Linked DNA regions of Danio rerio. The main gene of each other region encodes a partner of the protein of the gene in region 2 in a complex. Links are inferred from orthologs where the notes say so. Each region holds a gene or a part of one and is shown on either strand. Other genes may lie near its edges. The genes, in order: cdk5 and cdk5r1b.

Region 1 (4,450 bases), on a different chromosome or scaffold from region 2:
AAAAAAAAAGAAAAAAGAAGTGAGTGTTCCTTTAAATGAAGAATAAGAAAACGCTAATGGTGTTGTTTAAAATGAATGCTAAAATCTTGTTCCTAAAAAAGTAGTTGCACAACATACTTTTTTTTTAATCTTTACTGAATGTACAACAAAATTAAAACACTCCATTTTCGAATTTTTAAGGAAAGGCTCATTTTATTACCTCCCTACAGTTATACAGTTGAATTTCACCATTTTCAATTCATTCAGTGTATCTCAGAGTCTACGAGCACTTTTAGCTTAGCTTAGCATAGATCATTAAATCGGATTAGACCATTAGCATCTCAATAAAACAAAAAGTTTAAATATTTTACCAATTTGAAGCTTGACTTTTCTGTAGTTACATTGCGTAGTCAGACTGGCAGTAAATGAACAGCTGTCTTGGAACTTTACTGTCATTCTGGCGTAATAAGCAAGGAACTTTGTTGCTGTATCATGGCTAAAACAAGCGCAGTGATCTTACGCAGTGCCTAAAAAAGGTTCCTTGATTATGACTCAGAAAATAGAACATTCTATTTTCAGCAGTCTTAGTACACAATGTAACTAAAGAAGAGTCAAGCTGTAAAATGGAGAATTATTAAGACTCAACTTTATTATTTTTGAGCGTGATGTTAATGGTCTAATCCGATTCAATGATTTATGCTAAGCTAAGCTAACGGTGCTCCCACCGGACCTGAAGATCTGATGAATGAATATTTAAAAATTGGTTAAAATGGAGTCACTCTTTAAATAAGAAAATAATCAAAACTCAACTTTTTTTTTTTTTTTTGAGGGAGATGCTAATGGTCTAATCTGATTCAATGACTTATGTTAAGCTTAGCTAAAAGTGTTCCCACCAAACACAAAGATCAACTGAATACATTTTTAAAAATATAGTCAAATTCAACTGTTTAACTTAAAAAAAATAAGGTGCAGCGTTTCTTTAAATGAAGAATAGGAAAACGATAACAGTGTTGTTTAAAATGAATGCTAAAATCTCGCTCATAGAAAAATCGCACAACCTAGACTTTTTTTACCATTACTGTGTACAACACAAAATTCTATGGTGGTTTTTCTTTATATACTGTATATCGTAACGTGTGCTAAATCAATGATGTGCGCTGTACCTCATTCAATTATAATGCTCATTTGATCGTAGACAAAAAAAAATAATAATAAGATAAAGAAATTGCTGCTTTTTGTAGTCCCCACCGCAGCGTTTTGTAAACCTTCAGAGACCAATGAAGAACATTTGGCAACTAAATGAATCATGTAGGGCCAGGATTGAAGGTTTGCAGGCTAGAAGAAATTATCAACATTTTTAATTTACATAACAGTTCACCTATATATGTGACTATGATCAATGTTTATATGGATAGTTCACGCAAAAAATAAAATGATCATTTAATCTTTCACTTGTTTAAAGCCTGTTTGAGTTGCTTTCTTATTGAACATAAATGAAAATGTACTGAAGAACGTGAAAAACAGCCATTGAGTATTTTTCGTTGCTACTAGAGATGCTTTTTCCAACATTCTTCAAAACATCAGCATTTTTGTTCAACAGAAGAAACTCAAAAAACTTTAGAAGCACTTGAGGAATTACGAGGAATTTTTCATTTTTGGGTGAACTGTCCCTTTAGATGGTCTGACGTTATGCGATTCTCTAATTTTGTTTGTCTGGATGAACTTTTTCCGATAATTCCATTAAAAATGAAACTTTGCTGTTGATTTAATACCCTCGGGTCATCAAAGACGGTCGCTTTCTTTTAATTCAGTGACACATTAAAAGACTTATGGTTTAAACTGTGATCCTTGTTGATTCATAAAACTGCAAGTAAGATATGGAGTCAAAAATAAATACATAAATAAATAACATACAGGCTAATCAAAATACATATATATTCAGCTCTGGACAATAAATTGAGGTCTTATAAAACACAATGAAGTTCATAATGCTCATGGAATCAACTATTCCAATCATTAAAGGCACAGTTCAGTCAAAAACAAATTCTCACTGTTTACTCCAAACCTTTATGTGTTTCTTCATTATGTTGAACACGTTTCTGATGTACTATTGATACCCATAGCAGGAAAAACAAATGCTATGGAAGTCAATGATTACAGGTTTCCAGCATTCTTCGAAATGTCTTCTTTTATGTTCAACAGAATGAAGGTTTTGAATAGAGAGTGAATAACGCATTTTCAGTTTTGGGTGAACTATCCCTTTAATTTTGCCTGTATGTGTTTTTTTTGACTCCCAAAGTGCTGTTGACTTGCATTTTATAAATCACCCAATGACCAGTGTTTCAGCTAAAAACACACATTTTGTTAATGAAGAAATATGTCAAATTGATTTTTGATGAACTATCCCTTTAAGACCATAGTAACAACATAAAGGTCTTTTTGGAGATTTGTGCCGAATAACAGCAGCACACTCTGCATTAGAGAGAGTCACTATTATAATCATGTCTGTATGATCAAATCATAACCATAATCACTAATGGAGGAGTGTCTGGTGGTCCCTCTATTATCCTATGGTGAAAGCAGAAGCTGAGGGGGGTTTGAGGAGGTAAAACTGGCCCGTCTGTGTTCCTACATGATGATTTGGAGAGCAGTTTTTGTTTTTGTTTTTTTATGGTGGGCAGAAATCAGCAAAGTAAGGGTGCTGTAGAGCTTCTTCTGCTGAGATTCGCTGTACTGGATTACATTTCAGAAGATTCTAGAAAAAAATAAAAACAAAAAGTCACAAAATAGTAACATTTAGCAAAACCATCAATCATGAAATACAGTTAATCAAAAATTAATATAAAACTGCAATTATTATTGAAATATTTCACAAGTGCTTTAAAATAGTTTTTTTTCAACATTAAAAAAATAAAAATGATATATATATATATCAAATATATATCAAATATATATATATATATATATATATATATATATATATATATATATATATATATATATATATATATATATATATATATATATATATATTTATTTATTTATTTATATTATTTTAAACTACCCAGGTTCTGTATGTTGCAATGTTGCCAATTGTTATTGATTTTTTTTCCCGTTTAATTTAAAATTTCCCCAACCAGTCCAGAGCCCGGTGGAAAAGAGTGAGTTCTCCGACTTGACCCCAGCACTGGTCCAACGTTTCTAAACATAATAGTTTTAATGACTCATCTCCAATTTAGGAACAACTAATTTCCAACTTATTTATTTGTCTTTGCCATGATGACAGTACATTATATTTTGCAGGACACTATTTGAAGACCTAATTAGGTTAATAATGTTAATGCCACAGCCATATCTACCTGTAGCCCAAGACCAGTTACGCACTGAAGCCAAGCAGGGCTGAGCCTGGTCAATACCTGGATGAGAGACCACATGGGAAATCTAGGTTGCAGTTGGAAGTGGTGTTAATGAGGTCAGCAGCGGGAGCTCAACCTGCAGTCTGTGTTGAGTCCCAATGCCCCAGTATAGTGAAGGGGACATTATACTGTCAGTATGCACCGTTGTTAAACTGAGGTCCTGACTCTTGTTAAAAATCCCATGGCACTTCTCGTAAAGCGTAGTGGTGTATACCCGGTGTCCTGACCAAAGTCCCTCCATCGGCCCTTACTGATCATCCCCATCCAAGAAATTGGCTGGATCACTGTCTCTCCACTACAACTATAGCTGGTGTGTGGTGAGCGCACTGGCGCCGTTGTCCTGTGGCTGCTGTCACATCATCAAAGTGGATGCTGCACACTGGTAGTGGTGTGGGGAGACCCCCCCTCATGATTGTAAAGCACATTGTGTGTATGGCCATACACAATAAATGCACTATATAAATACACATTACATTACAATTTTGCAATGTATGGTAATTGGGCAAGTTATTGGACAACAGGTGTTTGTTCTGTGTGGACAACTAAAATAAACAAAATGTTAAGGGGGGTAATAATATTGACCTTAAAATTGGTTTTAAAAAATTTAAAACTGCTTTTATTTCAGGGCAAAAAGGCTTTCTACAGAAGAAAAAATATTATAGGAATTACTGTGAAAATGTCCTTGCTCTGTTAAAAAGCACTTGGGAAATATATACCTAAAAAGCAAAATAATTAAATCACAGGAGAGCTAATCATTTTGATTTCAGCTGCGATTGTTATGATAATGCAAATAATATACCTGTAGTAAATCTCTGCCGGTGCTGCTGAGTTTCGGCACGACGTTCACAAGTGATGTAGTAGCTGGATACATCGGGTACGGCTATTGAAATATCAAATAAATATTTAAAACAATATATAAATAAATTAAAAATATATGCAGCCAATTACTGAGTACAGTGGTCCCTCGTTAATCACAGGAGCTACGTTCTTAAAATAACCTGAAATCCGTAAAGTAGTCAGCTTTATTTTTTTACAATTATTATAGATGTTTTAAG
Region 2 (4,381 bases):
GACTTCTTTCATGTTCCACAGAAGATCTTACAAGTTTGGATTGACATGACGGTGAGTAAATGTAACAAAATTCAAAATTTTTGCATGAACTTTCCCTAAAAAATGCCAGATCAGAGTGTCACCAAAGACATCTCCAACGCCCCCTCACCGGTCCAGGCCGATAAGCAGACGACTCCGTTCCTCCTCCTTCTGGCTCTCGTTTTTAAGGTCCGCAAAGACCTGGGTGAAATAGTGAGGATCCGAGTTGATCTGCAGCATCTTGGCGCTCATCAAATTGATGATGGACAGACAGCGGTCCCAGAATGTCTCCTTGGAGGTCTCCACAAGGAATGGCTTGAGAGGGTACGAGATCTCATTGCCCATGTATGAGTAAGACAGGTAGAGGCAGGTCAGTAGGACGGCCTGCAGCTCGTGCTCTGTGGCCACCTCAGAGGAGACCACGTCTCGGCAGAGCATGTAGACGAAAACTACATTGGCCGGGGTGATGAATCCCTGGTCCTGCCAGCCCTGCAGGAGCAAAGAACGGTCCACGCTGCGGAGCCACAATACGGGGTCTGTAGGGGACAGATGCTTGAGCCGATAGCACCTCCGGCAGAGGAACTCCCCAAGACAACGCAGAAGCTCGCTGGTAGAGGCCTGAACGATCACCCTCTTGGGTGTCCCAGGGACAGCGTTGGAGTTGGAAAGAGGTGCTTTCTTGACAGAGGAAGCTGTGTTGTTGGAGTTTTTGGAGCCTTGGTTTGACGGACTTGTCTGGTCCTGCGTAAAGGAGGCGAGATTTGCACATGACTGGGACTTCTTGAGGTTCTCATTGTTAAGGTGAGAAACATTGTTCTGGTAGGTGGTGTTTGGCTGCACCTTCTTAGACCCCTTTTTCTTGGCTGAAACGGCTACTATTCGCTTCCATGGCAGTACGTTGATGAGTGGGTGCCGTTTTAGGTTCTTGTCTTTGGCGTTCTTGCTGTTCTGAACCGCCGTGTAGTGGCCCACTGTGGCGGGGCCATCTTCGAACAGGGCAGCCTTCCGGTAGCTGGGTGAAAGTGATAGCACGGTTCCCATGATGCCGGGAGTTGGATATCAGGAACTCAAGGTTAGGGGTCAGCTAAAGAAGGCGCCAAACCGGAGCCCACTGCTTCCTGAGACTAGTTCAATCTGTTAGACATCCAAATTTAGGTTGGTGTTCTATTTAAGGAAGAATGATGTTGCGATGGATGAGGGCTTGGTTACTGCAAAGCCTGTAAGACAAAGAATGAATATATTATTTTGATATCTATTTTGATGTAGTCTATTTAATGCAGCCATGGCTGTATTAATTATTATTGTTAATTAGCACTGCAGGATGTTGTTTGTATGCAATATAATTGCCCGAAATAAAGACTCTGATTAAAATATGTAGAGCAAATTTGTATTAAGTGTCTTTATTAATTAGCATGTACTAATATTTGCAGTACTCACTACCATCCACTACTTGTGTAGAGATATAGTAAATTTTAAAAATAGCATTTGTTTACATAGTCTATGTAAATTTAATTACACTTTGACTTCATTCCAGCACCTTAACTAACCATTATACTACCATTATACCAAATATAACCTGTCCCTAAATTTAAAAGTATCCCACCTCGATAGCAACAACTGTACTTGGCAAAAAAAAAAAAAAAAACATAAACACAATTAGCACATTAAGTACATAGTTATACTTTTTTTTCAAATTTAATTTTAATTATACTGATTTATTACTTTGTTGCATGTTTTTGTTTTGTCAAATGATTTTGTATTGTTACGCCATTTTTGTTTAATAGTACCTTATTATTATTATTATTAGTAGTAGTAGTATTAGTATTATTATTATGGAAAATCATATTAACAGATGGCGTTTTTCTAACCATGCTGACTGCTGTCTTGCAATTAGGCCACTTAATGTTGTTTCCATTAAAATAATCTTCAATTATTAATGCTACCTAACGAGAGCAGACAATGTATTTTTTAAAGTGTCAAATAATTTTCTGAGTTTATATATACCCAGATATTATTTAAATAGTACTGGATAATATTCTTCTCATGTTAAATAAAACAAAATGCGTTTTACAAGTGCCCCACTGTTTTCTCTTTGTGGAAAACAGGCCTCGTAAAGGTGTCGCGTGGTATTAAAGAAATGTAGCCTATTTTTTTTTTTATCCTTGTTGACCTCTTAAAATCCTCTCAAAATCATAGATTTCTAAACAGCTATAACAAAATAAACCATTTATCTGGTTCGTACTTCTACTACACTCATAATATCATAACTAAAATCCATTTTACATAGAACAAAAATGTATTTCAGACGGCAAAGTCAACCCAGCCAACGACCATAAATAAAGACATCGCCATGATTGCAGACTCCACTGTTTACTGCTCTCCTGTAAATACACTGATTCCACTGTATCGCCGTTCGTAAATATGTGTTTAATAGGACATTTAATACCTCACTCACATTCGGTGTGTGTTTGTAGAGGATTTAACAAACCACAAAAGACGAAAACTCTTACTTTCGCCTCTGTATTATATTTGTCCCTGTCCAAGGTTCTGAAAATGTGCAATCCTCCCTGACATGTTTACACGAGGGCAAGATACACTGACATTGATTTTCCTAAGCAAAACAACACCATTTGAAATTTGAAAAGATAGAAATGAAAATAACAAAACAAATGTCGATCAAAACTATTATCGGTTGATTTCCAAAATCCTGTTTTTCCTTTCAAATATGGCCAACAGTAAACCGAATAAAAACAGAAATGCAACTGACTTACAGGAAATCTGCTCGCCTCCACGATGCTTTAGCAAAACAAGAGCCGCAGTAATGGCTGTCTGGGTTTATCCTTGATATCACTGCGCATCAAGGAGATGCAAAATCATCCACACAAGAAAAAGATTTAATATCAAGACGGACAGAAAGCCTAAATTCCAATAAAACAGCAGGCTTTTAATCAAATCAAATAAAAAAAAGCATTCCACGTCTCGTCGGAGGTCTCTCCCGTGGTCTAGGGATGCTGGATGTCTCCTTCGGTTGGTGATGCTGAGAGCAGTGAAGCTGCGCTATTGGTCCACACCAGCAGATAGGGGATTTAGGTTTGATGCTGTGCTGTCAGAGCCGCGCGCACTGCGTACTTCTGCAAGAAAACATGTGCAAGAGCGCCTCCCTGCGGACTCACCTGGAGGTTTTATTTTTTACTGCCGTACTCCACAGTTCAATCAAAGCAAACTCTCAAACGTTGGGTTTTTTTAATGCTTTAAAAAGGCTATTTATACACTCTAAAAAAAAAGCTGATTTGTTTTAAATTAAAATTTCAGGCAACAGCAACTCAAAAAAACTACTTGTTACAACCAAAGTATGCAGAAGAGCATCTCTGAACACACATCACATCAAACCTTGAGGCGGATGGGCTACAACAGCAGAAGACCACTTAGTGGGCCTATTAGTACCATCTGAGTATCATGTCAATGCCACAGCCTACCTGAGTATTTGTTGCTGACCATGTCCATCTCTTTATGACCACAGTGTACCCATCTGATTATGGCTTCTTCCAGCAGGATAGCACGCCATGTCATAAAGCATGAATCATATAAAACTGGTTTCTTTAACATGATAATGAATTCACAGTACTCTAATGGGCTCCACAGTCACCAGAACTCAATCCTATAAAGCACATTTGGGATGTGGTAAAATAGGAGATTTACATTATGCATATGCAGCTGCCAAATCTACAGCAATTGTGAGATGTTATCATGTCAATATGGACCAAAATCTCTTAGGGATATTTCCAGTACCTTGTTGAATCTATGCCACGAAAGGATTAAGGCAGTTCTAAATGCAACCTGGTATTGGTAAGGTTTACCTAATAAAGTGTCCAGTAATTGCATCTTACTAGCATATTTTAAAAGGCATAGTTAACAACAAAAGAAATGTCCTTACTGTTCACTTACATTCAAGTGCTCAATTCTCCTGTTGGACCTAAAACAACATATTCTGAAGAATGTTGGAAACTTTGGCCGGTGACATCCATTAAAAAAGGAGAGAAAAACAAAAACTATGGAAATCAATGACTGCTGCTTTCCAGCATTCTTTAATAAGTCTTCGTTTGTGCACAATAGAAGAGACAAACAGGTTTGAAACAAGTGGAGGGGGAATAAATTATGACAGATTTGTATTAATACGCTAGATTAAACCCAGATAAACAGCTTTTCTTGCTTCACCTTCCACGCTGATTCATTAAATCATTCATTCATTTTCTTTTTGGCTTAATTCTTTTATTAACCAGGGGTCGTCACAGCGGAATGAATCGCCAACTTATCCAGTACATTTTTACGCAGCGGATGCCCTTCCAGCCACAACCCATCTCTG

Evidence for each region.
Region 1: the proteins of cdk5r1b (region 2) and cdk5 are in contact, whole or in part, in a crystal structure (PDB 3O0G), measured with the Homo sapiens proteins. The link is inferred for Danio rerio from reciprocal best matches to the Homo sapiens genes CDK5R1 and CDK5. Residues at the interface, in NP_003876.1 of Homo sapiens: Trp190, Gln193, Thr197, Pro198, Ala199, Phe203, Tyr231, Leu232, Ser235, Tyr236, Met237, Gly238, Asn239, Glu240, Ile241, Ser242, Tyr243, Pro244, Leu245, Lys254, Glu255, Trp258, Asp259, Cys261, Leu262, Ile265, Asn266, Ser269, Ser270, Met272; in NP_004926.1 of Homo sapiens: Leu37, Asp38, Glu42, Gly43, Pro45, Ser46, Ser47, Leu49, Arg50, Ile52, Cys53, Leu54, Lys56, Glu57, Val69, His71, Leu76, Arg120, Asn121, Val122, Leu147, Arg149, Ala150, Phe151, Gly152, Ile153, Pro154, Arg156, Cys157, Tyr158.

What each region holds. Positions count from the first base shown.
Region 1 is NC_133199.1:37,948,248-37,952,697, forward strand, and holds the end of cdk5 (cyclin-dependent kinase 5), read right to left. Parts: intron 4,276-4,450; coding exon 4,195-4,275; intron 2,735-4,194; coding exon 2,648-2,734; 3' UTR 791-2,647; downstream 1-790. UniProt on the Homo sapiens protein: Proline-directed serine/threonine-protein kinase essential for neuronal cell cycle arrest and differentiation and may be involved in apoptotic cell death in neuronal diseases by triggering abortive cell cycle re-entry. Interacts with D1 and D3-type G1 cyclins.
Region 2 is NC_133187.1:30,240,377-30,244,757, reverse strand, and holds the start of cdk5r1b (cyclin-dependent kinase 5 activator 1b), read right to left. Parts: upstream 3,040-4,381; 5' UTR 2,790-3,039; intron 2,761-2,789; exon of another isoform or gene 2,529-2,760; intron 1,236-2,528; 5' UTR 1,060-1,235; coding exon 145-1,059; 3' UTR 1-144. UniProt on the Homo sapiens protein: p35 is a neuron specific activator of CDK5. The complex p35/CDK5 is required for neurite outgrowth and cortical lamination. Involved in dendritic spine morphogenesis by mediating the EFNA1-EPHA4 signaling. Activator of TPKII.